7 linked regions of the Macaca mulatta genome follow. The protein of the gene in region 4 purifies or fractionates together with the protein of the main gene of each other region. This does not show direct contact. Links are inferred from orthologs where the notes say so. Each region holds a gene or a part of one and is shown on either strand. Other genes may lie near its edges. The genes, in order: CHD1, CSNK2A2, MMS22L, SSRP1, TRIM24, SRPK1 and CHD4.

The links.
Region 1: the proteins of SSRP1 (region 4) and CHD1 purify together in Homo sapiens (affinity purification with mass spectrometry; 3 studies listed by BioGRID and IntAct, with this or other methods). This does not show direct contact. The link is inferred for Macaca mulatta from reciprocal best matches to the Homo sapiens genes SSRP1 and CHD1.
Region 2: the proteins of SSRP1 (region 4) and CSNK2A2 purify together in Homo sapiens (affinity purification with western blotting; 3 studies listed by BioGRID and IntAct, with this or other methods). This does not show direct contact. The link is inferred for Macaca mulatta from reciprocal best matches to the Homo sapiens genes SSRP1 and CSNK2A2.
Region 3: the proteins of SSRP1 (region 4) and MMS22L purify together in Homo sapiens (affinity purification with mass spectrometry; 3 studies listed by BioGRID and IntAct, counting the BioPlex papers as one, with this or other methods). This does not show direct contact. The link is inferred for Macaca mulatta from reciprocal best matches to the Homo sapiens genes SSRP1 and MMS22L.
Region 5: the proteins of SSRP1 (region 4) and TRIM24 purify together in Homo sapiens (affinity purification with mass spectrometry; 3 studies listed by BioGRID and IntAct, with this or other methods). This does not show direct contact. The link is inferred for Macaca mulatta from reciprocal best matches to the Homo sapiens genes SSRP1 and TRIM24.
Region 6: the proteins of SSRP1 (region 4) and SRPK1 fractionate together in Homo sapiens (co-fractionation; 3 studies listed by BioGRID and IntAct, with this or other methods). This does not show direct contact. The link is inferred for Macaca mulatta from reciprocal best matches to the Homo sapiens genes SSRP1 and SRPK1.
Region 7: the proteins of SSRP1 (region 4) and CHD4 purify together in Homo sapiens (affinity purification with mass spectrometry; 3 studies listed by BioGRID and IntAct, with this or other methods). This does not show direct contact. The link is inferred for Macaca mulatta from reciprocal best matches to the Homo sapiens genes SSRP1 and CHD4.

The regions. Positions count from the first base shown.
Region 1 is NC_133411.1:107,621,279-107,624,778, forward strand, and holds part of CHD1 (chromodomain-helicase-DNA-binding protein 1), read right to left. Parts: intron 1,695-3,500; coding exon 1,598-1,694; intron 620-1,597; coding exon 568-619; intron 1-567. UniProt on the Homo sapiens protein: ATP-dependent chromatin-remodeling factor which functions as substrate recognition component of the transcription regulatory histone acetylation (HAT) complex SAGA. Regulates polymerase II transcription.
Region 2 is NC_133425.1:53,802,437-53,806,376, forward strand, and holds the start of CSNK2A2 (casein kinase II subunit alpha'), read right to left. Parts: upstream 2,801-3,940; 5' UTR 2,430-2,800; coding exon 2,326-2,429; intron 1,545-2,325; coding exon 1,433-1,544; intron 1-1,432.
Region 3 is NC_133409.1:88,599,676-88,603,175, reverse strand, and holds part of MMS22L (protein MMS22-like), read right to left. Parts: intron 3,475-3,500; coding exon 3,387-3,474; intron 3,294-3,386; coding exon 3,116-3,293; intron 378-3,115; coding exon 287-377; intron 1-286. UniProt on the Homo sapiens protein: Component of the MMS22L-TONSL complex, a complex that promotes homologous recombination-mediated repair of double-strand breaks (DSBs) at stalled or collapsed replication forks.
Region 4 is NC_133419.1:16,070,288-16,074,352, reverse strand, and holds the start of SSRP1 (FACT complex subunit SSRP1), read right to left. Parts: upstream 2,801-4,065; 5' UTR 2,730-2,800; exon of another isoform or gene 2,527-2,729; intron 2,245-2,526; 5' UTR 2,126-2,244; coding exon 2,072-2,125; intron 1,658-2,071; coding exon 1,472-1,657; intron 242-1,471; coding exon 136-241; intron 1-135. UniProt on the Homo sapiens protein: Component of the FACT complex, a general chromatin factor that acts to reorganize nucleosomes. The FACT complex is involved in multiple processes that require DNA as a template such as mRNA elongation, DNA replication and DNA repair.
Region 5 is NC_133408.1:178,297,887-178,301,970, reverse strand, and holds the start of TRIM24 (transcription intermediary factor 1-alpha), read right to left. Parts: upstream 2,801-4,084; 5' UTR 2,755-2,800; coding exon 2,391-2,754; intron 1-2,390. UniProt on the Homo sapiens protein: Transcriptional coactivator that interacts with numerous nuclear receptors and coactivators and modulates the transcription of target genes.
Region 6 is NC_133409.1:146,332,733-146,336,697, reverse strand, and holds the start of SRPK1 (SRSF protein kinase 1), read right to left. Parts: upstream 2,801-3,965; 5' UTR 2,762-2,800; coding exon 2,160-2,761; intron 1,790-2,159; exon of another isoform or gene 1,658-1,789; intron 1-1,657. UniProt on the Homo sapiens protein: Serine/arginine-rich protein-specific kinase which specifically phosphorylates its substrates at serine residues located in regions rich in arginine/serine dipeptides, known as RS domains and is involved in the phosphorylation of SR splicing factors and the regulation of splicing.
Region 7 is NC_133416.1:7,522,682-7,526,181, forward strand, and holds part of CHD4 (chromodomain-helicase-DNA-binding protein 4), read right to left. Parts: exon of another isoform or gene 3,304-3,500; intron 2,527-3,303; coding exon 2,331-2,526; coding exon of another isoform or gene 2,328-2,330; intron 376-2,327; coding exon 212-375; intron 37-211; coding exon 19-36; 3' UTR 1-18. UniProt on the Homo sapiens protein: ATP-dependent chromatin-remodeling factor that binds and distorts nucleosomal DNA. Acts as a component of the histone deacetylase NuRD complex which participates in the remodeling of chromatin.

The sequences.
Region 1 (3,500 bases), on a different chromosome or scaffold from region 4:
TAAGTACAACTTTTATTAACGACCTTAAAAATAATATGTGGCAAAAAAAACTTAAGTTGATAGATAACAAGAACTCGTTTCAACCCTTGCCAAAACAAAATTGGTTCCCAAATACAAGCAGTTGAAGCATTTATAAATGGTGTATAAAAGCAGTACTAAGGATTATTTTAAAAGGGTCACTTGATTCTGAAATGTGACAAAAACTAAAAAATATGGGACCCATTCCTTTCTCAGACTATACTTTTGTGGCTGTCATACAGAAAGAATGCATTACTATTCCAAATTACATAAAAAAGAATATTTGTTCATTTTAGCAGTTATTCTACAATTTCTAGAAACTGGGAAAAAGATGATTAAAAGGATAATCAACTAAAAAGAACGATAGCTTAAGAGAATACATTTTATATAATAATGTAGGTATGTATCAGAATTACCGTATCTTCTTAATATAAAGGTACTTGTAAATAAAAACAAGGTAACAACTTTAACATTTAGTTTATTTAAAACAAATATTTAAAAAAAAAATTTTTTTTTAATTTATTTTCCCAATCAGTAAGACTTACATACCTGGATTTCTAATCACATGAGGATTCAAGTTGCTGTTTTGATCATTGTTTTGCTAAAATAAATGCACACATGTGTAAGAATCTTTAGGTGACTTCACAAACTTACAAAAAAGGATAATTCTTAGAAAATACTGATACTGAAGTCTTCAAACAAGGTATTAGAATGTTTATGTGTGTACATATATGTATATATGTGTGTATATATACATGTATGACATTTATAGATCTCCATTTTTAAAGTATGAACTACTTGTCCCATGACTTAAAGATATTTTTTCACTTTGAAATAAACTGACTTAACAGAAAAGTTGCAAAAATACTGAGTTCTCACATACCCTTTATCTAGCTTCTCCTAATGTTAATATCTTATATAAACATAGTATAAAGATCAAAACCAAATAATTAACATTGGTATAACACTATTAACTGAAGAACAGACTTCATTCAGATTTCACATTTTTCCACTCATGTTCTTTATCTGCTCGGGGATTCGATTTGGAAGCCCATATTACACTAAGTTGTCATGTCTTCCTCTGGGGCAGCTCCTTAGTCTACTGCATGCTGTTAATACTTCTGGAGAGTAGCAGTTATTTTATAGAATATCCCTCAAGAAGGGCTTGTCTGATATTTTCACATAACACTTATATATTTTTGGCAAGAATTCCACATAAGTCATGTGCCTTTCTCAGTATCAGAGGGTTCATAATGCTGATGTGTCTTACCACTGGTGACATTAACCTTGATCACTTGTTTAAGGTGGGTCAGGCAAGTTTCTCTATTATAAAGTTATTATTTTCCCTTTATAATTAATAAACATTTCAGAGATCTGTCAATATCCTATTTTCTTGCCCATTAACTTTACCTCCCTTCTGTGAATCTTGCCTGCAACAATTATTACTGTGGTGTTCAAAGGTGATTTTTAAAATTTATCTTATTCATTCTGTATTTATTAATCAAATTGCTTTGTAAAAAGAATGTCTCATGGTTTTAATTATATAAATTAAGGGAAAAAAATATAATGGCAAGTTTACCTGAGATTCCTGCCGTTTTTTAATAGCATGCTTATATAATTTATGCAATTTTCTTGCATCAAATTCAGTAAACTTAGATACAAAAATCCATAGGTTTCTAGAAGAATTAAAAAAAAGGCAAATTACATTAGTCTGGTGGAAAATATTTAGTTTTTTTCATGGAACTCCTTCCCTCCAAACAGAAACACATACACACATACACAGCCCTCTATGGAACAAACTCTTAAGGATATTAATTCTATGTATTTTTTCAAAACTTCATATAAGACTCCAGTGAAACTAAACATTATATTTTACTTCTCTTCCAGATCACTTCATTTTATAGTCTTTAGACTGAAAAGCAGTAAACAATCCTAATTTGAAATGCACCAAAGATATAAATTAAATCAGGAAGTGATTCAGATTCATACTGTGATCCTGATTATGCATATAAGGGACAGGTATGTTAATAATTGGGAGTGGAAATACCATCAGGTAATACGGATTATGCTTGTAAAGAATTGTCTTAAATAATGCATTAAAAAGTAACTGTCACTTAATAATAGTAATGTAATGGTCCCAAGAGTTAACACGATCAAACACCATAAATAAGGTACAGCTTGGTATCTCTTGCCATTCCAACAGAGGCATCAGTAATTAATCAGAAACTGTGGTGATTATTTCATAATGCATGTGTATATCAAATCATCAAACTGTATACCTTAAATACATAAGAACTGTAATTGTTAAATATACCTCCAAAAAGAAAAGGAATGTTAAGTTCTAAGGGAGGGTGGTAGTCCCTAGAAGATTCAAATGTACACTAGAGGTAAAATATTTACCTTGAAATATATTTTTAAAATGAACTTAAGAGAATATATTGAATGGTACCTTACTGAACTGAAATCCACAGAAGGGGGAAAATTCATCTAGCCTTTACATAAATTCACAGACTATCTCGAACATATCTACATTCTAAGGTTAACTCATAAGGGTAAAAGGTGGGAATTTAATAAAGTACCTTTTTGTTCCTAAGTAAATTCCTTGTAAAAACATATTTTCCGGCCGGGCGCGGTGGCTCACGCCTGTAATCCCAACACTTTGGGAGGCCGAGGCGGGCGGATCACGAGGTCAGGAGATCGAGGCCAACCTGGCGAACACTGTGAAACCCCGTCTCTACTAAAAATACAAAAAAATTAGCTGGGCGTGGTGGCGGGCACCTGTGGTCCCAGCTACTCGGGAGGCTGAGGCAGGAGAATGGCATGAACCTGGGAGGCACAGCTTGCAGTGAGCGGAGATCGCACCACTGCACTCCAGCCTGAGCAACAGAGCGAGACTCCGTCTCAAAAAAAAAAAAAAAAAAAAAAAAAAAATTAAAAAAAATTAAATAAAATTTAAAAAAATATCTATATATACACACACACATACATATACATATTTTCCCCCAAAAAATCTAGTCAGGAACCAGATTCTGGTCTTAATTATATCATCCAAATGACTATCTGATCTTGAACAAAGCACCAGAGCTGAGGCAAGCATCAGCACTTACACAAACCTAAGAATTAGTGCCTCTTTTAGAGTTCAGGTCCTAGTGTTTCCTCTGTCATTCTCCAGTTCCAGCCCTAAAATGCTTTTCAACTGAATCCATTTTTTTCCTTCTGTAAAATGGAATAGTAAATATCTGTTCATATTTCCTACAAGTAATACTATTAAAAGGATCAGCTAGAATGAGGCATATTTGATAGACAAATAAAATACAAATATACATTCTATTTTGGCCATCACTTTATTACAGTGATCTTTAAATAAAAACTAGTGTTGCATTTCAGTTGTTTTTAAGAAATTTGGTCAAAAAATATATTGAAAAAAATTGTAAGCAAAAAACAAAAAGATCATTATAGTAACTACTGTAACACTTGCTTAA
Region 2 (3,940 bases), on a different chromosome or scaffold from region 4:
CTCTTTACTGCAATTCTGCTTCTTCATCACTAGGCTAGGATGTTTTGAGTGATGGAGTTAATCATTTTTTCTGAAAGATTACCAGGAAGCATAAGCCTGACCCCTCACATTAAACAGTGATTACCTACACAGCTGCTCTAACACACAGAAACAGCTTTTCAATTCCACATTCTTAGTCCACAGAACCTCTGCAAAAGGGCCACACTGGAAATCACATGTATGCAAAGTGCTTACGTCACTCTTCCGTCTTCTCAATCTCTCACTAAATGACATGTAACCACATGAAATGATCTGGCAATAACGAAGACCCATCACAGATTCTAAGAACTACTTTTTACTATAGCCTATAAAACATTATTAAAGCTATACAATTAATCTGTTACCAGAAGGAAAATTTAGCCGACCCTTCATGCTCATTAAAATCATCTTCATGGAAGAGATAACAAAAGACATATCATTATCAAACTGATTGCTAAACCATATATTAAAATCGTTTTGTTCCAATTATTGCTTTAGTAATAATACGTGAATTCTTCTACATTTTTACTAGCTGATAAGCAACAATGGCTCTCTGGCTTCCCAACAAGGCTTCTCAGCACTACTGGCGCACTATATCCATCCCACCTGAAACTTTACTGCCAAAGGAAAAAAAAAAGCAAGTGATTATCTGCTAAGGAATTTCCTTCCACTTGGGTTTGACATACATTTCTGAAGTCGCTCCAATTTTTTCCAACTTTCTTTCTGGAACAACGGAGAGCATGCACCAAGACTAACAAACACAGTGCTCAGGGAGCCCTTAAATTGAGAATGGCTTTCCTGTCTTTTGAATACCTATTTATTTTCTAACAAATGGAGCCCTTTAGGAATTTTTGCTTTAGGCAATTTACTTTTTAGAACAAACACCTTCCTGAACTTAGATTTGAACTAAGATCTGTGACCAGTCTGCACATTTTCTTGAAAGTTCACAGCAAAATGGGGTGGAAAAAGAAGTAATGAAGGGACATCAGATAAATAAAATCTGAGCGTGGGCTGGGCACAGCGGCTTATGCCTGTAAACCCAGCAATTTTAGGAGGCCTGCAAGGAGTCCTTTTGGAGGACTGCTTGAGCTCAGGAGTTTAAGACCAGCCTGGGCAACTTGACCAGACCCTGACTCTACAAAAAAATTTTAAAAATAACTGGGCGTGGTGGCATGCACCTGTAGTCTCAGCTACTTGGGTGAGATGGGAGGATCATTTGAGCTCAGGAGTTGAAGGCTGCAGTGAACTATGATCTGCACTACAGCCTGGGTGACAGAGTGAGACTCTGACTCTAAATAAATAAATTAAATTAAATTCAAGCTTGCATTGCCCATTCTAGAACGTGACTGGGGTAGCTTACAACCTTCTGCCCTGTGGGGGGAAAAATGTTACATACCACTCATAGGACACTCACCTTGAGGATTTTTACAACCACTCTCTCATTGTTGGTGATGTTAATGGCCTCAAATACTTCACTATATTTTCCCCGACCAAGTTTTCGAACCAGTTGGTAATCATCTTGATTACTGTAAAAGGAAGACACACACATAAATGCCAGGACTGGGGGTTAATCTAAGCAAGCCTATGCTCACTGTATACGTCATTCAGCCGCTTCCAACAGGCAAACACTTGGAAGTGTCTATACATCACGTCACAACTCATTCCCTAAATGAAAGCCACGACGTAATCTTGGCTCCCTTCACTCTGCAGAGCTCCTAACCTAATTGGTCTCTCCTAACTTGGAAAGATGGGGCAGGAAGGCAACGCTCTGAGCCAATCCAGAGGGCTGAGCAAAGCACCCGTCCTGAAGGCCTAGAGGGTGCCCCCTGTGCCCCGCGGCTCCCCAGCACCTGCTTCCCGTTTCACACCCTGAGGGTAGACAGTGCCTGTTTTAAAAAACTGGACGTCTTTAAGAAATTTCCTCCCACCACCTCATCTCAGAAAACCGAAAAGGCAGGGAATTTTAATAGCTCCAAAGGACAGCTGTTGACTTCCCACCCCAGTGGAAACCCAGAAGCGTGAGGAAGGGCTACTCCCTCACTTTTACCGGGCGTCGATCCCTGGACCCCACACTTCTCCCCGAGTAAAAAAGCATTCCTTGGGGGAAAGAGGTGCGCAAAGCGGGGAGAAAGGGACAAGGGGAGGGAAGAGGAAGACGAGGACATGTGCGAGAGCTGGACCTCTGCCTCCCTGCGGGCCCGCGGAGGGGTCGGCGGGAGACACCACCGGGCCCGAGTGCGGTTCGCAGGGGGTGGCCGGGCGGGGGCAGGGGTCAGCGGGCCCGGCGGGGGGCGGCGGCGGCTTTACCCCCAGCTCGGGACGTGAGCCTCGTAGTCCCAGTACTCGCGGCTCCTCAGGCTGTTCACCTCGGCGTAGACCCGGGCCCTGCTGCCCGCGGCCGGGCCGGGCATGGCGGGCGGGACCGGGGGGCGGCGCGGGGCGCAGAGGGTGGCGGCGGCGACGCGGCGGAGGGCGCGGGGCGGCGGGCGGAGGGGGCAGCGGGCCGCCGGGCGCTGGAGGAGGAGGAGGAGGAACGCGGCGGCGGGCGGCCGCGCCAGGCCGGGCCCGCGGGGGCGGGCGGGCTGGGGGCGCGGGGGGCGCCGGCCGAGCCGGCCCGGCCCTGGAGCGGCCGGCGGGGCGGCGGGGCGGGCGGCGCTCGCGATCCGCGGCGGTCTCCGCTCGGCTCGCGGCCCCCAGGAGGCGGCGGCAGTGGCGGCGGCGGCACCGGCAGTGGCAGCCACCGGCCGGGAAAGGGGCAGCGGCCGCGGCAGCGGAGAAGAAGGAGGAGAGAAGGAGGAGGCGGAGGAAACCCGGAAAAGGGGCCGCGCTCGCTGGGAGCGGCCGCCGCCCGGCCTGGGACCGCCCAGGCTCACAGCGCCCCCTGGAGCGCGGGGGGACCCGCCGGGCGGTGCCGGCCCCGCCCCGGCCCCGCCCCGGCACGCCCCGCCGCCTACCTCGCGCCCTCCCGCACCGTCCCGCACCCTCGCCCTCCCGTCGCCCCAGGTCGGACGGTCCAAATCGCCTCACCCTCGGGCTGGCCTGACTTCACGCCACAGGAGCCCCCCTTCCACTGGCCGTTGCCCTAGAGCCCTCGCCCGCGAGTCCCGACCCTTTCACTGTCCTTGGAGACCCTACCCCTAGCCCTGCACTCACCCAGCTTTTACCCACCCGACACCTCCCATACTGACCCTATTCTGACCCTCCTGTCACCCAAACTGTCAAGTCCCTCCCCAGGGCCTCGCTCAAACCTCAGAACCTCTCCCACCTCAATACTTCTCCTTTTCCCGGAGACATACCCCTCCTTCCCCCTCTGGACCCTGCCCTGTTAGGGTAGACTCCTCAGTCCCCAAAGCTTCCCACCCCCGTCATTCAGAGTCCTCACAAAACCTTTCCACGCTTCCCCCAAATGCCCTTCCAGAGCCTTCCCTGAATATCCACTTTGGTCACTTGGTTAAGCTGGCGTCGGCCAGGTTGTGCCACTGCAAAGTTACAATTTTTCCCTTTGTGATTAGTTAGTTATTTGTGGGGAGAGACTTTGAGTGTGTAAATCTCCTGTTTGTGTTTAGGAGGAGGGAGAGCAGAATTGCAAATCCGACCTGAAGGGACAGCAGGGATTGGGGATGCACCAGGGTAGGTGGTCAACTGAACTGGCCTGGCTTCCAGTGTTGCTTGCAGCCCTGAACACCCTTCTCCTTGGACCTTCTAGGCCCTTCCTTTGTCTTCCTTTCCCATCCTGCATCCTTTATCGACAGGACCTCTGCACCCAGTGCAGGTTGCTCTCATTCCAATCCCTTTTCACAGTCTGTTTTCTAGATGAAATCCTGGGCCTTCCTCCTTGACACAGCTAAGAGCACAGACTGTAGAGTCAGATCTATCCAGCACTGCTACTTAGAAGCTGTGTGACCTTAGGACAATTACTCAA
Region 3 (3,500 bases), on a different chromosome or scaffold from region 4:
ATATCTGTGGTTAAAAACAAAAACAAAATTTTACCTATGAGTTTTTATATAGATACTAACAGATAGAATGGAAATATGTATACTAACAGATAGAATGTAAATATGGAAAGATAAATCAAGGTGTTCCCAGTAGTTACCTCTGGAAAAAAAGGAGTAAAACTTTTACTTCTTACTTTGTTTACTATTTGATTTTTTTTAAATATCAGAAGGCACTTATTACTTACGTAATTTTAAAAAGCAATAAAAGCTTTTAAAAAGAATATAAATCATAAATCCATAAACTTACTCAATTTTTCACCCAGCATGTAAAGAATTTCTAGCACCAGCCAATGTATATCCAAGTGGAGATGTAATAAATGCCATGATGGTGGAAAAAGCTGTGGATGACATTATCAACTGTGATTGAGAATTCATTAATATTTTACAAGGTGTTTCATAGCATGTCACAATACTCCTCCATAAACACAAGGATAAAGAACCAATTAACCTACCACTATTCAAAAGCTCAGGGAAAACCTCTGTCTTGTTCATTAAAGGATTCCTTCACTGAAGATCTTTGAAAGCAGTAAATATTTTCATCTGTTGGTTTAAGACAAACCCACTTTGGGGCTGCTGAATAGACTTGTATAGTAAAGGTACCTTCCAGCCAACCTCTGATTCTACTATAGCTGCAAGGCAGTAAAAGAATTTTTTTAAACACGTGTTTTCATAATTTTGTTTTAGAATTTAGCTAGGAAATTTTTTTTAATGTATGAGTACCTAGGAACTCCTATAAAATATTTTAACAAAAGAACTTTAGACTGTCATGTAGACATTACTGTCATCTCATTAAGGAACAGAAGTAAAAAGAGGTGAAAAAATTTCTCTCTCAATTCATGTATTAGGATTCAAACTCAATTCTATCTGAGTCAAAACCCAGCACTTTCAAGTACTGTGTTATACTGGGTTATCACTAACCTTCCTCCTGTCAGAATTTAGCATCACTATAAAAATAAATACTATAAAAAAAAAATGACGTAACATGTTCCATTAAAACAAATAGAATGATGAAGAGTAGACCTGCGTTATTAGGTATACAAACAAAATAAAATGCTACACTGACAAAACCGTATTGGGACAGAAATAGATAACAAAGAGCAAGAACAGAGAAGACAGAAATGAATTTATGTGGCATCTCAAATCAATGGGAAAAGTATGGGTCATTCAATAAAAAATAAGAGTTTTAACTTATGCATTTGCAAGAAACTGAAGTTAGACTTCTCACCTCAGTGCATACTTAAAAATAACACGAATTAAAGAGATAAAAGCAACAATCAAAATATTTTAACAGCATAGATAAAACAAAAAATGGAAAAATATAACTATCTAAAAAATTCAAATCTACCTAGAAAGTCAGCTTACTTAATGAAAAAGTAAATAAAATATTTGCAATACATAATTCCCAATAACTAACATATATCTAGAGTTCCTAAAAAATAATAAAAGAAGCTCAACTGGAAATACCAATGAAAACAAAACATTTCCTATACAAGATTGTTATAACAAATATATAAACATAGTCTTGAAAGATGCTTTCTATTATGTTTTTGTTTCAGAAAAGAACAGTATTTTAGTGGGTGATTTTTTATTTTTTGAAGACTATAAAGTTCCCTTGCTTTAAAACTTTAGTCTTCTGAGCTTCAAATAACCTATCTTTTCAAGTCTGCCTAATTAAAAAGCCTATGAAAGGCAATATCTAGTTTGAGGACCCTAGTGCACAAATTTTATTTCTGCTGCCACATAAATTATTCATTTTTATTTCTTATGTATTCGATGGATAACTAGAAAATAAAAACCAGTCCAATTTACAGAAACTAATAAGGAAAACATCCCTCCTTCAACAATCTACTCATGAATCTTTTTATTAAATGACATAATTAAAAGCAATTACCTATTTGTTTTCTATGGATTAGTTATACTAACTTGTAAATTCAGTTAGAACTTTATTTGCTTTTATTATTACATATATTGATCTCTGATAAAAAAGTCAACTTGTTTCTGCTACATTTCACAGAAACATGTAAACATTTAATTCTATTTATTTTATTTATTGAAATAGGGTCTTGCTCTGTCATCCAGGCTGGAATGCAGTGGTGCAGTCATGTCTCACCACAGCCTCGACCTCCTGAGTTCAACTGATCCTCCCACCTCAACCTCCTGAGTAGCTAAGACTACAAGGTATGTGCCACCACCCTTGGCTAACTTTTTAATTTTTTATAGAGATGGGGTCTCGCTATGTTGCCCAAGCTGGTCTCAAATCCTGGATTCAAGCACTCCTCCCTGCCTCAGCCACCCAAAGTGTTGGGATTACAGGCATGAGCTACCATGCTCAGCTGTTTTTATATTTTAACAAAGGTATGTTCATAAAGAGTAAATATTATTCAAAATGGTAAAGTCAAATATAATGAAAGGGGTTGAGACTTCAGGGAATCTCACTGTGAATTACCATAATTTGTTATTCATACAAGCTCCCATTTTCATAGGGAGAATCTATTACTTATCTATAAGCTAGGCATGGTAACAATATAAATTTTTAAAAACCAAACTTCAGAAGGAATGATTATCACAGGAAGGAAAAAAAGGGCAGAGTCAAAACAATCTTAATCACTTTCCAAAAAGGCCTCAAAAATCAGAATACACACAATGATGTGGTCTTGGAAGTTTTTTTTAATAAGCTGATCTTGAATCTTACTGCAATATATGATAAAAAAATTTTAGAAAACAAAGATTATTTCATTTGCTTTAAAATCTTCAGACATTTACACTGTCATAAATCAAGAGAATAGCTACTGATTCAATGAATATTATGTTTTAATAACTTCATATATATTAATTTATTTAATTCTCCCAATGATTCTAGTAAGTTATAAGAATTACACAGATGGGGAGGCTGAGGCAAGAGATGTCATTTGCCCAAGAGCACATAATTAATAAAAGGAGGATGGGGGCAAGAATTTCAACACAGGCAGTCAGGTTGCAGAGCTGTAATTTTGACTAATTTCTCTCCTTCCTGAATGAATATTCCTTGTGGGGAGAAAAAGCTGATAATTTAAAAATTAAATGAAACAAGTCGAACCTTAATCTGGTTTTGATTTACAAATGCTCCTATATTAATACTGGGAAGTTCAGATAGGTGTCCAATATACAAGAGTAATCCATGAAGCTCATCAATCAACAGTGAGGGAAGTTGAGCCTCCAAAGCCTCATAAGGATGGACAGGAACATGACTCTCAGCATTGTGTACTTTCAGATACCTAAAAAATAATTAGATAAAATAAACAATCAGAGTCTATATGAATACACACAGAAATTCATGCAGTGATCAAAATACTCATCTGATATCCTACCTGAAGATGAAAACTTTAACATAATGGAGAAATAGTACACACTGCTGTCTGATATTGTCTGCTTTGCAGTGCAGCGTTGATACCTTCCCTGAAACCAAAATAGACAATGTTGAT
Region 4 (4,065 bases):
CAATAAACACACGATGAACATGCAAACAGATAGGAAACCAGAGACAGTGGCAGAAGGAAAAGAGCAAAACAAGTAAAAGGCTGAAGCCCTTCACCCTATCTTCCTCCCCAAACCTCAGTCTTCCCCAGGACTCACCACCAAATTTCACTGTCCCCCAGTTCCAGCCCTTCACACAAAGGTCCTTCTCCATTAGCTCAAGGCGATAGTGAGTTTTGAAGAAATCAGAGAGTTTCTCAAACTCCTGTGGGTGGAGGGAAGAAAACGCAATCCCAGTAAACCCTGGTGGCCTTAACACCGACTTGAATGTCCTGGGATTATCTATTTCTGAGAAACTGTCCCAAATAGGCTTTATAAGAAACTCTTGCTGCCGGGCGTGGTGGCTCACGCCTGTAATCCCAGCACTTTGGGAGGCCGAGGCGGGTGGATCACGAGGTCAGGAGATTGAGACCATCCTGGTTAACACGGTGAAACCCCGTCTCTATTAAAAATACAAAAAATTAGCCGGGCGAGGTGGTGGGCGCCTGTAGTCCCAGCTACTCGGAAGGCTGAGGCAGGAGAATGGTGTGAACCCAGGAGGCAGAGCTTGCAGTGAGCCGAGATCGCGCCACTGCACTAGAGCCTGGGCGACAGAGCAAGACTCCGTCTCAAAAAAAAAAAAAAAAAAAAGAAACTCATGATGACTTAGCAACCCAGCTCTAACATTGTTTAAAAGATGGTTTAGAGAGGTTGCTTCTAGCCACTGGATCTGACATTCCTGGTTATGGGTCATCTGATTTTATAAACTTTGTATAGGTATTACTTTAATGAAAGTGGAAATTAAAATCAAATAAAGCCTTTAACTCAAGCAGTTCAAAATGGAAACCCACACTTTAAGACATCAAGCTAGCCAGGCGCAATGGCTCATGCCTGTAATCTCAACGCTTTGGGAGGCCAAGGTGGGCGATCCCTTGAGTCTGAGAGCTCAAGACCAGACTGGGTAACGTGGCGAAACCCCATTTCTACCAAAAATTATGAAAAATCAGCTGGGCATGGTGGCATGTGCCTGTGGTACCAGATATTCAGGAGGCTGAGGTGGAAGGATTACTTGAACCCACGAGGCAGAGGCTGCAGTGAGCGGAGATTGCGCCACTGCACTCCAGCCTGGGTGACAGAGCGAGGCCCTGTCTCAAAAAAAAAAAAAAAAAACACAAAAAGACATCAAGCTAAGATCCTGAACCTTGATAAAAGTCACAGGTAGAAACTAGTATCTAAATCAAGACAGAAGAAAATCTTCTGGAGTCAAGGCACACAGAAATTCACAAGACTTCAACACTCAAAGCCGAACACTGATTGCCTCATGGCCTCACAGTCCTGCTCTAAGGAGCCCAAACTAGCAATCACAGGGTTACATGAGGAAGGAACCTCGAGTCTCTAGAAGATTAAAACAAGATGATGCAGTAAAAAGGGGGTTTATAGCTATGGGACAGCTCACCGATTCTCGGAAGCCATCATACTTGTAGACATGGCCATTCTTTGTAAGCAGTTTAAGTCCATGGCCCAGAGCAACACGGCGCCAGATGCCTTCTGTTAACTCCCCAGCCTGGATGTTGTCCACTTTCCCCGTCTTGCTGTTCTTGAAGATGATGCCCTGGCGGCTCAACCTCAGTCGACCATCATTCTGTAAGAAAAGCAGGCCCAGATGCATGGGGACAGTACACAGCATGTCCTGGGTCCAGTTCTACCCAACACACTTTCCAGCTGCGAGTGGGCTGGGCAGACTGTCAATGCAGGAGCAACAGCTGAGGTGCAAGGAGTCTAGATTCCACACCAGGCTCTGGTATTTAGAATCCTTAACAGATTCTCAGTTTCCTCATTTGTAAAACAGGAATTGGGAACTGAAGAGCATATACGGTCCCTATAACTCTGAGACTATCTCTCAGTATTGCCTCGTGTTGGGGGAGACACTAGGTACACGTTATACTGAGTCTTCTTTTTCCAAAATAACATTACCAAAGCAAGCTCTCGTTAATGGACAAAAACTCTACCCTCCTTCCTTCTCTCTACTTGTATCAACTGCCCAAGCCATTCTCACCATGGAGCCTTTCACCTCCTGATAGATGTCGTTGAACTCCAGTGTCTCTGCCATGTCGACCCCTGCCTGTGGTGGCCTGGGCAGAGCCCCAGGCTGCACAAGGGAAACCGAGTAAACTGGGGGCTGGGCCCCAACTCCTGAGTGGGTGGGCGGATGCTCAGCAGGTTGGGAATCTAAATTCAAGAGGAAGACAGATAAGCATGAAAGACAGCACCTCGCTGTGCTCACGGATGGAGCACAGCAGCAACTCCCAACTGCGCCTGGGATGTCTCAGGATTTCCTCTGCCTGGAAACCTACAGACGGACGCTGCAGCGCTCGAGGGTCCAGGCCTAAGCCCAGGTGGAGAACCGGGCCTGGAATACCGCTGACACCCAACCCGATGCCCGCTCTAGCCGCTCTGGCGGGAGCCATGGCAACGAGCAGCGGAACCCCAGGGTCAGCCCGGAGCCCGCACCTCGCACGCGCCCCAATCCAGCTCAGAGTGCAGGGTTTCCCTCGCAGCGCTCCCACCACCCCGCGGGCCTCCGGTTCACCCCCGCCCCACAGGATGGATTCGCCCGCTCCCCGCGGTTTCGAACGCGGAATGGTCCATGTCGAGCGTCCCTTGGGGGAGGGGCGCCCCTGCCTTCCTGGGACCGGGGGACGACCACCACCTACCTCCTCAGGCTGCAGCCTCGCGAGGGCCCCGGCGCAGGAGGTGGGCGCGCTGGGGGGACGCGGTGGGGCGGGGGATGGGGGGGACACCGGGGAAGCTTTTCCCGCGTGCGCGGCCCCGCGTCCCGCCACCGGAAGCCGTGCACAGGCCACAGAGACGACGAGCTGGCTAGAGAGACGCGAGCCCGGCCCGCCTGCGAGACAGTCGCATAGAGCGTCAGCGACTCTGGAGGACCTGAGGGAAGAGTGGTTGCCGTGAAGTCTCTCTCAGCCGGGTGGAATCTGCCTAGAAAATTTGTGTAGGGCTCTTTAGAAACTACAGACACTTCTTCAGTGGAGACTAGATACTGAAGAGAAATTGTGTAGTTGTATTGTATCAGACTTAGCTTAGTACAGGAATGGGGTGGGGGTGTGTGTTGAAATGATGCGTGCCCGTTTCTCTGCAAAATAGTTTCTGTGTCATGGAGAGGAGTCGATGGAACACGAAGAAAAGTATTTGAACAGTTGTGGGAAGAAACGACCTCTCGCACTGGCTGCGGAGAGAATGCGGGTGTTGGTGTCACCGTGGGTGCACTGCTTTCTGGCTGACCTGTCAAGTTCGCCGTCTACACCCAAAATTTTCACATCCCTAACCGAAATGTATAGGTCCCCCCAAGAGGCTGACAAATGGCCGTATCCAGTTCAAGTCCTGGTATCAGATTCACTTTGGAGCCAGAACTGATTTGAAACCACATCATCCTGGGGTTGCGGAAGCCAGCTCTCCCTCATATAGTCCCAGAGTGCATTTTTGCAACATCAGAGACCAGACCTGGAAAATATATTTTAGTTTTTCTACCCCAACCTCTTTTTACTGATGGGAATACTGAGACCCAAAGGGGAGTGAGTTGCCCAGGGTCTCAGTGCGTTGGCAACAAGGCTAGGACACAGACCTCCTTACCACCACCAGTCCAGTTATCTTCTGTCATAATCACAGTGACTGTATGTTCAGAATGATTGATGATATGTGTCCTACATGAAGACATTAGTACAGAATATGTAAACTCAAGATTTCCCTGACAATCAGTACACCAGCTTGCTAACTCAATCCTGAGGTAAGAGACAACAGGAATGCACCCTTCTCCCCTGAATTCATAGCTTTAACCTCTGAGTAGTGGCTATTCCAGCATTATCTAGCAATATAAATTCAACTGGGTTTAATAGATAGATATTGAGGGCCTATGACTAATTTAGCACACTTCTCGGATTTGAGGAACTTGAACAAGACGAAAACATCCCTGGCTGGGCGCAGTGGCTCACACCTGTAATCCCAGCACTTGGGGAGGCCGAGGTAGGCAGATCA
Region 5 (4,084 bases), on a different chromosome or scaffold from region 4:
TATGATCCATGTTCTCATTAATTCAAGTCCGTATGTCATGGCCAGGCAAACAATATATCTTAATTCTATAATAATGCACAATTCAGATCTTAATTGGCTACTAGCCTGTTTAACCATTTAAAATATAAATGGAAGAGGCCGGGCGGGGTGGCTCATGCTTGTAATCCCAGCATTTAGCGAGGCCAAGGCAGGTGGATCACCTGAGGTCAGGAGTACAAGACCAGCCTGGCCAAAATGGCAAAACTCCATCGCTACTAAAAAAAAACACACACACAAATTAGCCGGGTGTGGCGCCCGGCTGAGGCACAAGAATTGCTTGAACCCGGGAGGCGGAGGTTGCAGTGAGCTGAGATCGTGCTACTGCATTCCAGCCTGAAGGACAAAGCGAGGTAGGAAGGTAGGAAGGTAGGCAGGGAGGAAGGAAAAACCAACCTTAAAATGCGTCTAAGAAATAAGAACAGGCGGGATACGGTGGCTCACACTTGTAATCCCAGCACTTTGGGAAGCCAAGGTGGGCGGATCACCTCAAGTCGGGAGTTCGAGACCAGCCTGACCAACATGGAGTAACTCCATCTCTACCAAAAAAAAAAAAAAAAATACGAAATTAGCCGGGCGTGGTGGCGCATGCCTGTAATCCCAGCTACTCGGGAGGCTGAGGCAGGGCAATCGCTTGAACCCGGGAGGCAGAGGTTGCGGTGAGCCAAGATCGCACCATTGCACTTGAGCCTGGGCAACAAGAGCGACACTCCGTCTCAAAATAAACAAAGAAACAAGAACTAAGGTTTAAGCTTTCACCTGTTCGAACTTTCCAGTAGTGGGCCTCTTCAGAGCAAACTAGTGTGAAGGATCTGAGAGTTTGTTCAACTTGCAAGCTAACAACCTTACCAGTTTCACGGATGGTGATAGAAGACACTCAAGGGTCAGAGACACAGGGCAGTTTGTTTTTTACTCACAGGAACAGCATAAGCCAAAGCATCAAGATTTTTGCACTAGTTCTCGGAACTCCAGGTTCCCACTGGTCAACGTGAAGAGAGCCAGCTGACATCTACACAGGCAGTTCCTTCTCTACAGGAGAGGAACCCTAAGCTTAGGGAACCCTAATCTTTTAAGATGGGCAGTAAGCATGCCTACCCTTTCGCTCCAGAGGGAGACATTATTCTTATTATACTGGATAATACGTATCCCTGCCTCTTGCTCTGGTGGAAGACACTATCGAAGGCTGCTCTTTAGATAATATCCGTGAAAAACAGAAACAAAGGGCAGTCAGTATCTTCCTGGCAAGGGTGCTGGCAAGAGTGAAGAAACGGACACGCATGGAAAACTGTCTCCTACAAGTGGATACTGGGCCTAACATGCAGTTAAATAAATGAGTCTCGGACCACAATCTAAAGTATCCATTTCACACTTCCCTTAACGTAGCGTAAAATTAGCGTTTTATTTCAAACTAAATCAACTATTCCCTCTAAAAAGTATTAAAAATGCTCTTCCAGTTACACTGTATTTTTTTAAAAAGAGGTGCTCAAATATTTGCAATAAAATTTAAAAACTGCCAAGTGTTCTACCCAAAACCGTATCCACTTAAACTTACTTTAAATGTTTCAAACCTGTTAAAGTGAGCAATGGGAACACCTGTCAAAAGTCTAATTCTACAGTAATAAACACCACAAAGAGAAGAGTAACTTCTAGCTTTATCTATAAAATACCAGGAAACCCTGCACCCCAAATCACTTTGCATTATTTCTCTTCACCGTCTCAAAATAAAACCCTTGAAAGAGACACACAACAAAACAACGTCTCTTGGTTCCTTTGTCCCTAGCAGAGGAGAGGGAAAAGAACTGGGAACTCATTAAGGTAAAGAGCCCCAAACATGCAAAATAAGAAATAAATGACATCCGATCTGCAATCAGTCATGAAAGAAAGTCACCATCACTTCATCTTCATCCCTCCCTTCTCCCCTCCAGCTCAAATAACGTGGGTATAGACGAGATGATCAGGATCATATGGACCTGGACAAAGCTTTGTGGAGGCAGCGGGCGGGTAAGCAGTTAACTGGATGCAGGCGGCAAAGAACCCGAGATTCCGGCTGCAGGAGACTCCGCAGAGGTCTGCAAAAGTGCGGCTGGCAGGGGCCGCCCGGCTGTAGAGAACGCGGAGCGGCGGCGGCGGCGCGGTCAAGTCCACAGCGCCCGGGGAAGTTGCTGGCCGAGCGCAGCACGCCGCAGAGCGCGGGCCCTCCATGTCACCGTCGCCAGCACAGACCCTCCTGCTCGCCCCTCCCCCGCCGCGCACCCCGGGCGGCGGCGACATGACAGCGGGTCGCGCTGCACAAGGGCGCCCGCCCCCTCCCGGCCCTCTCCCCGGGCTCCCCCGCGGCCGCAGCCGGTTCTCACCTTGGGTGGCGAACGGCGACGAGCCGCTGACCGGCGAGCCGGGGACAGGGACGGGCGGCGGGGTCTCGGCTGAGCCCAGCATGGGCGCGGGCAGCATGAGGTAGCGCTGGGGCGCGGGTAGGCAGCGCTGGCAGAAAGAGTGCAGGCAGGGCAGCAGCTTGGGCGCCCGGCTCTGGATGTTCTGGTGGCACACGGCGCAAGTGTCCAACAGGTTGAGCCGGGCCGCCTCGCCGCCGCGCTCCGAGTCCGGGCCCTGCCGACTCTCGGCCTCGTTCTCCCCGCTCGGCGCCGCCGAGGGCCCCCCGGAGGCCGCCGCCGAGGCCGCTGCCGCCGCCGCCGCCGCCTTCTCCACAGCCACCTCCATTGTCCTGCCCCCGCCGCCGCCGGGGAAGCGAGAGCGCGGTCTTCGCCCGCCGCCCCCGACGACCTCCTCCTCCTCCTGCGGCTGCTCCTCAGAGGCCGCTCGGTGGACTCGCGGCAGCGCCAGGGAGGGAGGGAAAGCAAGCCGGGCGGGGGAAGCCTCCTCAGGCCCAGGGGATCCGCCTCCCGAGTGGCGCGGCCGGAAGAAGGGGATCTGTCAGCGGAGACCGTTCCTCACACCGGGGAGGCTGCACCCCGTCCGCTACGCCAACCGCCGCTGCGCTCGTCGAATACGCCCAGCCCGCCCTTACCTCCCCGCCTTTCTCTTCATCGCTCCCCAAGCCCACCTCAGGCCCCGCCCCCGCCCTCCCTCTCCCAGCAACTGAGGCTTCGGCGAGGATCCCGCCGCCCAATAGCAGCCGCGCCTGGCGAGGGGGCGGGACCTGTCGGAGCCCGCGAGGCTCTGTCGGCCGCGGCGGGAGGTTGGGAAGTGGGTGGTGCTTGTCCAGCCCCGCCCCCTCTGGACTCCTGGAGCCGCGGTCTCTGATTGGGCCTTTGTGTGTGTTTTCTCCTCTGAAAAGATTGAGGGTTCATTTGTTATCGACCATCCGCCTGATTCGGTCCGGGGTGTTAGCTCCTCCTAGGGGGCGGGACCTCACTTGTCTACTCTATGCCGTTAATTAAGTAACTGCTTGGAAAACTCGTTTCATTACTGGAGACCTGGTCTTGTAGGAGGGGTAAATATGGTAGGAGGGTCACAGGAGGAAGGAGTGGAGGTACTGAAGAGCAAACAAGGAAATAATTTTCTAAAAATACTGTGTGAAAGAGGTACTCTGGAGGCAGCATGGATATTGCAACCTAATTTTACTCATCTTTAGAATGAATGACTGAGTATGAAGAATAAGGGAGGGAAGTTCTTGTGCAAGTTGGAAATTTTTAAAGGGTTCCCCAATGAAAAAGGTGAAGTTAATTTTCAAAGTCAGTGATGTGCTTTTTAAAGTGACTAAAGGTTCGTTTTCCCAGGAATTAATACAGATTGGCTAATGTTTTTATTGCATAAATATAGCATCATTAAGTAAAAATAAGCCTCAATACTGATCCCCAAATAATTCATAACTTCAAGATTCTTTTTTATTTCTTCCCTCCCTCTTATTTTATTCCCTCCCTCCCTCACCTCTCTATGCTGATATCAGAAGTTAAGCACATTTTTCACTCAAAAAATGAAGCAGCTTTTAAGGAACTTGAAGAATAGAAACGGAGTGGAGGAAACAAGCTTTTGTAAACACGTAACTTTAAGAAGTGTATATAAGTTTTTTTTTTTTTTCAATACGAAT
Region 6 (3,965 bases), on a different chromosome or scaffold from region 4:
GCCTGGGCAACATGGCAAAACCCTATCTCTACAAAAAATACAAAAATTAACCAGGCGTAGTGGCATACACCTATAGTCCCAGCTACTTGGGGGGCTGAGGCAAGAGAATTGCTTGAATCTAGGAGGTGGAGGTTGCAGTGAGCCGAGATCGCACCACTAAACTGCAGCCTGGGCAACAGAGCGAGAACTTGCCTCAAAAAGAAAAAGAATAAAAAGGTAAATTTAAAACAAAAAAAAGCAAAAACGTATTAATTGGAAACAAAATCAAAAATAAAACACCTCTGAAATTACAAGTAAATGGGGCAGTTCATTCACGCATATTTTCAGGAGTCAAAGTTGTTCAAGATAAAATATTCAGTAAAATGACTGCTACGTTATCTATAATCCACACTTGCAAACAATTAACAACACAAATAACTCTAAGTTATCCATAGTAGTGAATGGGGTAACAGATATACATATATTTGGCTTTAGAAATAAAGCATATAGTCTAAATAGATAATCGGAAGTAATAGATATCTGGTGCTTAAAGTATATGATCACCTATATACATTTGCCCCTCAAATTATAGCTTGATTTGGGCTAATCTCAAATTAATTTCCAAGTGGTAAGAGAGATCTGGACAAATGGTCTGAGAGACCAGGATTTCTAAAAAATACAGTAATATAATAAAAACCGCAACTTCCTCGTATCAATAGAAAAGAACGTTTTAACACATTCTTATCAATTCCACAAAGAATAACTCAACTAGGCACAGAAAAGTAACATTTCAATTCCTACTGCACACTAGAACCAAGTTAGCACCTTGCTGTTTCTATTAAACAATCTAGGATTAAAAAATGGTTTTGAATAATCCCATATACGGATAATCCAAAGGCAAACAGACACACACAAACTCACCATTTACAAACCTTCGTCACCAAGCACTTACAAAATACATTTCATAAGACAGAATAGAAAATGGAGCAAGAGGTGAGGTCACCTACCACTTTAGTTCTATTGAAAGACAGAAGTCATTATGTGCTCTCCCCAAACAGTAGGTAGCCTCCAAAAACAACACACACCCCTACGCCCCCCTTAATCTGGTATTGTCATTCAGTGGGGTGACCTAGGAAGGCCTTTGAAATGTGTTGTATCAACTCAGAGGGAATTAGACCGCATACAACGCCAAAAAAATCAAATAAATTTAAAAGTATAAAGATAATACATCTAAAATTAAGAACTAGGCATAGAATCTCTCTCTGAGAGATGATTTCCAAGAGCTGATTTCCAAGACCCTTTGCAGTTAAACGTTAGTACATGATGAAAGTTCTTTAGGCTTAGCCTCACTTGCTGAATGAAGCCTGCTACCTGAGTTTCTATTAGGCTGTGACCAACTTTTGAACTTGCCACGATAGCACTATACTGTTATGCATCCCACTGATAAAACTGGACATGTGGCGCTTAATACACCAAACCAGAACCATCGATGTGTGTTAAAGAACTCTCCCGTTACTATAGTGATGCCGACTCCGGAAGATTATCTGCATTTGATTGAGGTTTAGACAGAAGAGAAGCAGTTAACAGACACTGACTGTATACACAGCGGTCTGCCGGCACAGTGCAAAAAAGCCGATGTGCCTTGCAGGTTCAGGAAGTTGACTAACCCAAAGAAAAGCCCCATGCCCTCCTCTATGAAAGGGAGTGTGTGGTTGGTAGAACCCAAAGTAAACACGGAAAAACTCATTCAAGAATTTCCTTAAGGCCTACCGTGCAGACGTTGGAGGCAAGTTAAGACGTTGGGGAGCAGGTAAGAGAGAGAGACCAGAGTTCAGAAACAGAACGATAATGATCTACCAGCTCCGGTGGGGGGGGGGTCCAAGCTAGGGGAGTTTGTGCCTCCTCTGTGGAGTTGGGGAGGAAAGGTACCGGGCGGGCTCTGGTCCTCCTCCGACAGCCCTTTCCAGCAGGCCTGGGGCTGCTAAGACCCAGGCCTGGCGTTCAGCAACAGCAGCTCTCTTCCACATGGTTGCTGGAGAGCGACCCTCCGAGCTGCCCCGAGGCCATGTGGCTGCGGCCACAGGGTGCCCAAACCCTGTGCACATTCAAGACGCGAAACCAGAGCAGAGAAGGTGCCGGAGGAAAATCCAAAGAATGGGATGTTGGGGTACAAGACTCACTTCCTTTGGGCTTTGTCCTTCTTGGCCTTGGTCCTTTTCTTTCGGGCCTGGAGCGCAAGCACTGCAGGAGAGAGGGATGGATGAAGGGCAAATGTGGAGGAAAGGAGGTGACCAAGGTGAGGGTGGAGACCCAGCAGGGGCGCCAGGCCCGGCTGCGGGGCCTGTCTCAGGGGCGGCTGCGGTACGAGCGCGGAGGCTTCGGCAAGGCGGCCGGCCGGGGGGCTGGCGGCCCACGGGGCACAGAGCAGCGCACGGGCGGGATGCGCCGGAGGGGTCTCAGGCCGGGTCAGGGGGCGGGCGGGCGGAGGTCTGCCTCGCCCGCCAAGGTCCGGGCCCTGGAGTGGCCCCAAGGCGCAAGCCGGCCTGGCAGGGAACAAGGGGCGGCGACGGCCGGCGCCGGAGGACGCCCGGGCTGAGGGGCGCGGACCCGCAGCCCAGAGGCGGGGGGTGTGGGGCGGCGCCACCTCAGTGGAGGGGCGCCGCAAGCCCGGGGACCGAACCGCGGCAGTTAGGCGAAGCTCCGGGCGCTGACCCGGGCCTCGCCCCGGCGGCCGTTGCCCCTCGTGGCGGAGGCCGCTCCACCGCTCACCTTTCCGCTCCATGGTGAGACCGGTAACCGCCAAGCGCCTGCGCACTCGAGTGGCGGTGACTCCAGCTCCCGCCGCGGCCCAAAACCGAGCCCGCGCACACTCCACCCCCAGTCCCGCCCCGCCCCCGCCCCACCGTGCCGCGCGCATGCGCGTCGGGAGCGGAGCCTACCACCTGCTCCCGAGGAGGGGGCGGCAAGGAGAGGGAGGGGGCGCTGAGAGGAGGAACGTCGGGGGTGAACGTTGAAGGAGTGTTAGAGATCCAAGCTCGGAAACCTGGCAAGGTTAGTTTTATTCTATTTGCTTAGAAAAGGCGCAGAGAGCGGCAGGGCTCCCTGCATGCTGCTGAGTCAGAGCTTCAGAGGCAATTGGGATCTGCCTCAGTTTCCTGGCCTGTAAAATGGATTAATCAGGCATGTCCCAGTTTCTCCTTCCCTGAGCTATTGTGAGCCCAGTTGAGATGCTATTTAAAGAAAATGGAAAAAAATTACATGTGAGAAAGAAAAGGGAGTGGGAGCAACACAGAAAGACTGGAAGGAAAGAACCTGTGACCCTATTATCACTTGAAAAGTAAAAACTTCAAAAGTGAATTTTCTCTTGAAATTTCAAGTTTAAATGAAAGCTGTAAAGGAAAGAAAGGGAAATGAGAATAAAAACGTTTAATGTTTTCTTATTCTACCACTTTCAATACATGATAAAGTTGTCTTGTTTATGAGATTTTTTTTTTTTTTACTTTTCTAAGTGCATTATCTCATTTTATGTTTATGGCAACTTAAAGGCAAAATAGTTATTCCTTCCATTACACAAAGACACTAAACTTAAGAGGACCTGCCTATATGTTCAGAATCTTGGTGTACGACCCAGTTATTTAATCATCAAGCCCTTATTGTATAGCAGGCTCAGCAAAGTTTTTCTTTGGGCCAGATAGTAAATATTTAGGCTTTGTGGACCATAAGATCTCTTTCTCAGCTACTCAACTCTGCCACTGGAGCTCAAAAGCAGTCATAGAAAATATGGACTTTGTTCCTATAAAGATTTATTTATGGACACTGAAATTTTAATTTCATATAATTTTCGCATGTCATAAAATGTTCTTCTATTGATTTAAACATGGCCTTTGTTAGGTTTTGAAGGGAAGGTGAGGGTTAAAGAGGAGTAGTCTTGCTCTGCTACTCAGGTGGAGTACAGTGGCATGATCTCGGCTCACTGCAGCCTGGAT
Region 7 (3,500 bases), on a different chromosome or scaffold from region 4:
TGTTATCAGTCTGCATCTTCACTGCTGCTGGGCTACCTAGAGAAGGAGACCCAAGGAGTCAGAATTCCAGATGATAGGAATCCACCCAATCTCAAGGGAATTCACTGACAGCCTACCCACCCAGTATGTAAAGCTAGGAACATACAACAAAGTTACAAGCTCCAGAATGGTTCTGCAGGAAGAGGTGGTGTCAAGAAGAAAATGGTCCTACCTGCTGTGGGGTAGGTTCGGGTGCCCGGTTTGCCAGGCGGCTGAGAATGTTACGCTCTGACATCTGTAACCTCACAGCAACTGGGGGAATTCGGGCAATGGTAGCTGGGAGTCGAGTCACATCGGCTTTCATGTCACTCAGCAGTTCTTCCAGCTGTTTCAGAACTGCAAAGGGAGAAAAAGAGGTGGTGAGCTGTGGTGGCCAAGACTGAGGTCCCTCTACCCTAGTGGACCAGCATCTCTTCTCAGTGACCAAGTGACTGTGATGTGTTATCTTCTGTCACCTGACCTGACCTCCACCATGTTCAAATTCCTGCTCCTCATATTCCAGTTCCAACTGTTCATGATTTTGTGCTCTTAAAAGTCACCTAAACCTTCACTATCCCTTACTATTATTGTATTTCCTCTTCTTGAGAAGCTTATTCCTGTTTTTTCTCTTCTCTACCTTCAGAATCTGTCTCCCACCTCCATTATAACAGCATTCTTTTCCTTATTTCACCCTCCGCCTCCTCATAACCTTTTACTTTAATTAGAAACAAAACGCTGAAAGGGGTCTAGAATTTGAAGGGATCTTTTATCACCTGAAGTTACCTCTAAAGTATCCCAAATGACACTATATTATTCTGCTTTGCTTTCCATCTCAAGAACCTGAATATATTTAAAGTTAAAAGAGGTGGGGCCGGGCGTGGTGGCTCATGCCTGTAATCCCAGCACTTTGGGAGGCAGAGGCAGGTGGATCATCTGAGGTCAGGAGTTTGAGACCGGCCTGGCCAACATGGTGAAACCCCATCTCTACTAAAAATACAAAAAATTAGCCGGGCATGGTGGCGGGCGCCTGTAATCCCAGCAACTTAGGAAGCTGAGGCAGAAGAATCGCTTGAACCCGGGAGGCGGAGGTTGTGGTGAACTGAGATCACGCCATTGCACTCCAGCCTGGGCAACAAGAGCAAAACTCCATCTCAAAAAACAAACAAAAAAACAAACAAAATTAGCAGGGCATGGTGGTGCATGCCTGTAATCCCAGCTACTCAGGAGGCTAAGGCAGGAGAATCGCTTGAACCTGGGAGGCAAAGGTTGCAGTGAGCCGAGATCACGCCACTGCACTCCAGCCTGGGCAACAAGAGCAAAACTCCGCCTCAAAAAAAAAAAAAAAAAAAAAAAAAAAAAAAAAAGGTGGCCAGGGCGGGGCATGGTGGCTCACGCCTATAATGCCAGCACTTTGGGAGGCAGAGGCAGGTAGACCACTTGAAGTTAGTTTGAGACCAGCTTTGCCAACATGGTAAAACCCCATCTCTACTAAAAATACAAAAACTAGCCGCAAGTGGTGGCGCATGCCTATAGTTCCAGCTGCTCGGGAGGCTGAGGCAGGATAATTGCTTGAACCCAGGAGGCAGAGGCTGCAGTGGGCCAAGATCACGCCATTGCACTCCAGCCTGGGCAAGAGCTAGACTCCATCTCAAAAAGAAAAAAAAAAAGGTGGCCGGGTACAGTGGCACATATTTGTAGTTCCAGCTACTCAGGAGGCTGAGGCAAGAGGATCACTTGAGTCCAGGAGTTCAAGACCCACCCGGGCAAAATGTTGAGAGCCCATCTCTTTTTTTTTTTCCGGAGTCTCACTGTGTTGCCCAGGCTGATAGCCAGTGCAATGGCACGATCTTGGTTTACTGCAAACTCTACCTCCTGGTTTCAAGCGATTCTCTTGCCTCAGCCTCCTGAGCAGCTAGGATTACAGGCATGTGCCACATGCCCAGCTAATTTTGCTATTTTTAGTAGAGACGGGGTTTCACCATGTTGGCCAGGCTGGTCTCGAACTCCTAACCTCGTGATCCACCCACCTTGGCCTCCCAAAGTGCCGAGATTACAGACGTCAGCCACCGCGCCCAGCCAAGAGCCCACCTCTTAAAAAGAAAAAAGAAAAAAAAAAAAAAAAAGAGGCAAAGAACTACTGTCCTTGATTGCCTCTAACATATTAACTCCCCAAGGATGGCAAAGGTCCCTACCAACTCCTAAACTCTCAAAGGAGCTCTGAAAAAGGTTTGAAAACAAATATATGTACATTGGGATGCAGTTAGATGAGGGAGGAGGCCTAATCAGCAGGAGGCAGGGGAGCCACTGGCTACCTTTGTGCAGGACTGCATTGGCTGGCTTGTTTCCTGCCATTGACTCCTTGGACAGGTGCTGATGACTTTCCGCCAAACACTCCACCTCAGCAAAGCGGGTGTTGAGGGCCATGGAAGGGTGAGAAGGGTCTTCTGACATGTTCAAGTAAGCAGCCCGGCGCAGCTGTTCCTCAATCACCAGAGCTTGTTCTAAGAGCTGGACAAGGGATAAAAGGAAACGGGAGTTCGACTGATAACTCACTTTGCTTACTTCTGACTGGCCTCTCAGCTCACCTCTCATTGTTTCTGATAGTAATAAGAACCTATAAATAACTTCATGGACAGCTCATTCCCACACCCAAGCAGTTTAACTTTGCCTTGTATCTTTTTTCTTTCCCTTTTTCAATGTCCTCGTTTTTAAAACTCTTTACCCTTTAGATTCTCTTATACAAAAGCAATAAAAACTCAATTTAGAAAATAGAATATCAAAAATTAACAACAGATGATCCCACCTTCTAGAAATATATCCTGATTTTTTTTTAGGTTTTTTTGTGCATAGTTTTTTACATAACTGAGATCATACTATATACATATCCATATTATGTTTTCATTTAGTTACAGTTAAACATTTTCCTTTTTATCATCTACTCTTTATCAACTACTCTTCAAAAACACGTTTTGGCTGGGCACAGTGGCTCACACCTGTAATCCCAGCACTTTGGGAGGCTGAGATGGGCAGATCACTTGAGGTCAGGAGTTCAAGACCAGCCTGGCCAACATGACAAAACCCCATCTCTACTAAACACACAAAAATTAGCAAGGTATGGTAGTGCACACCTGTAACTGCTGCTGCTCAAGAGGTTGAGGCAGAAGAATGCTTGAACCCGGGAGGCAAAGGTTGCAGTGAGCTGGGATCATGCCACTGCACTCCAGCCTGAATGACAGAGGGAAACTCTGTCTCAAAAAAACAGGGTTATTTTGCTATTTTAAAATATTTTTGTTTTTTATTTCCTCTTATCGCCATCTCACTTCCATTCCTCTGAAAAGCAACCTTTCTAATATAGTAATACTGTGGCTTTTTGTGTAGGTTTTTAAAGACTGTGTTGTTTCATATGTATGTTTCTAAGTTACAGAATGATGTTTTCTGTACCTATGCTTTTTTTCTCCCACTACATACTTTTTAAAAGGTAC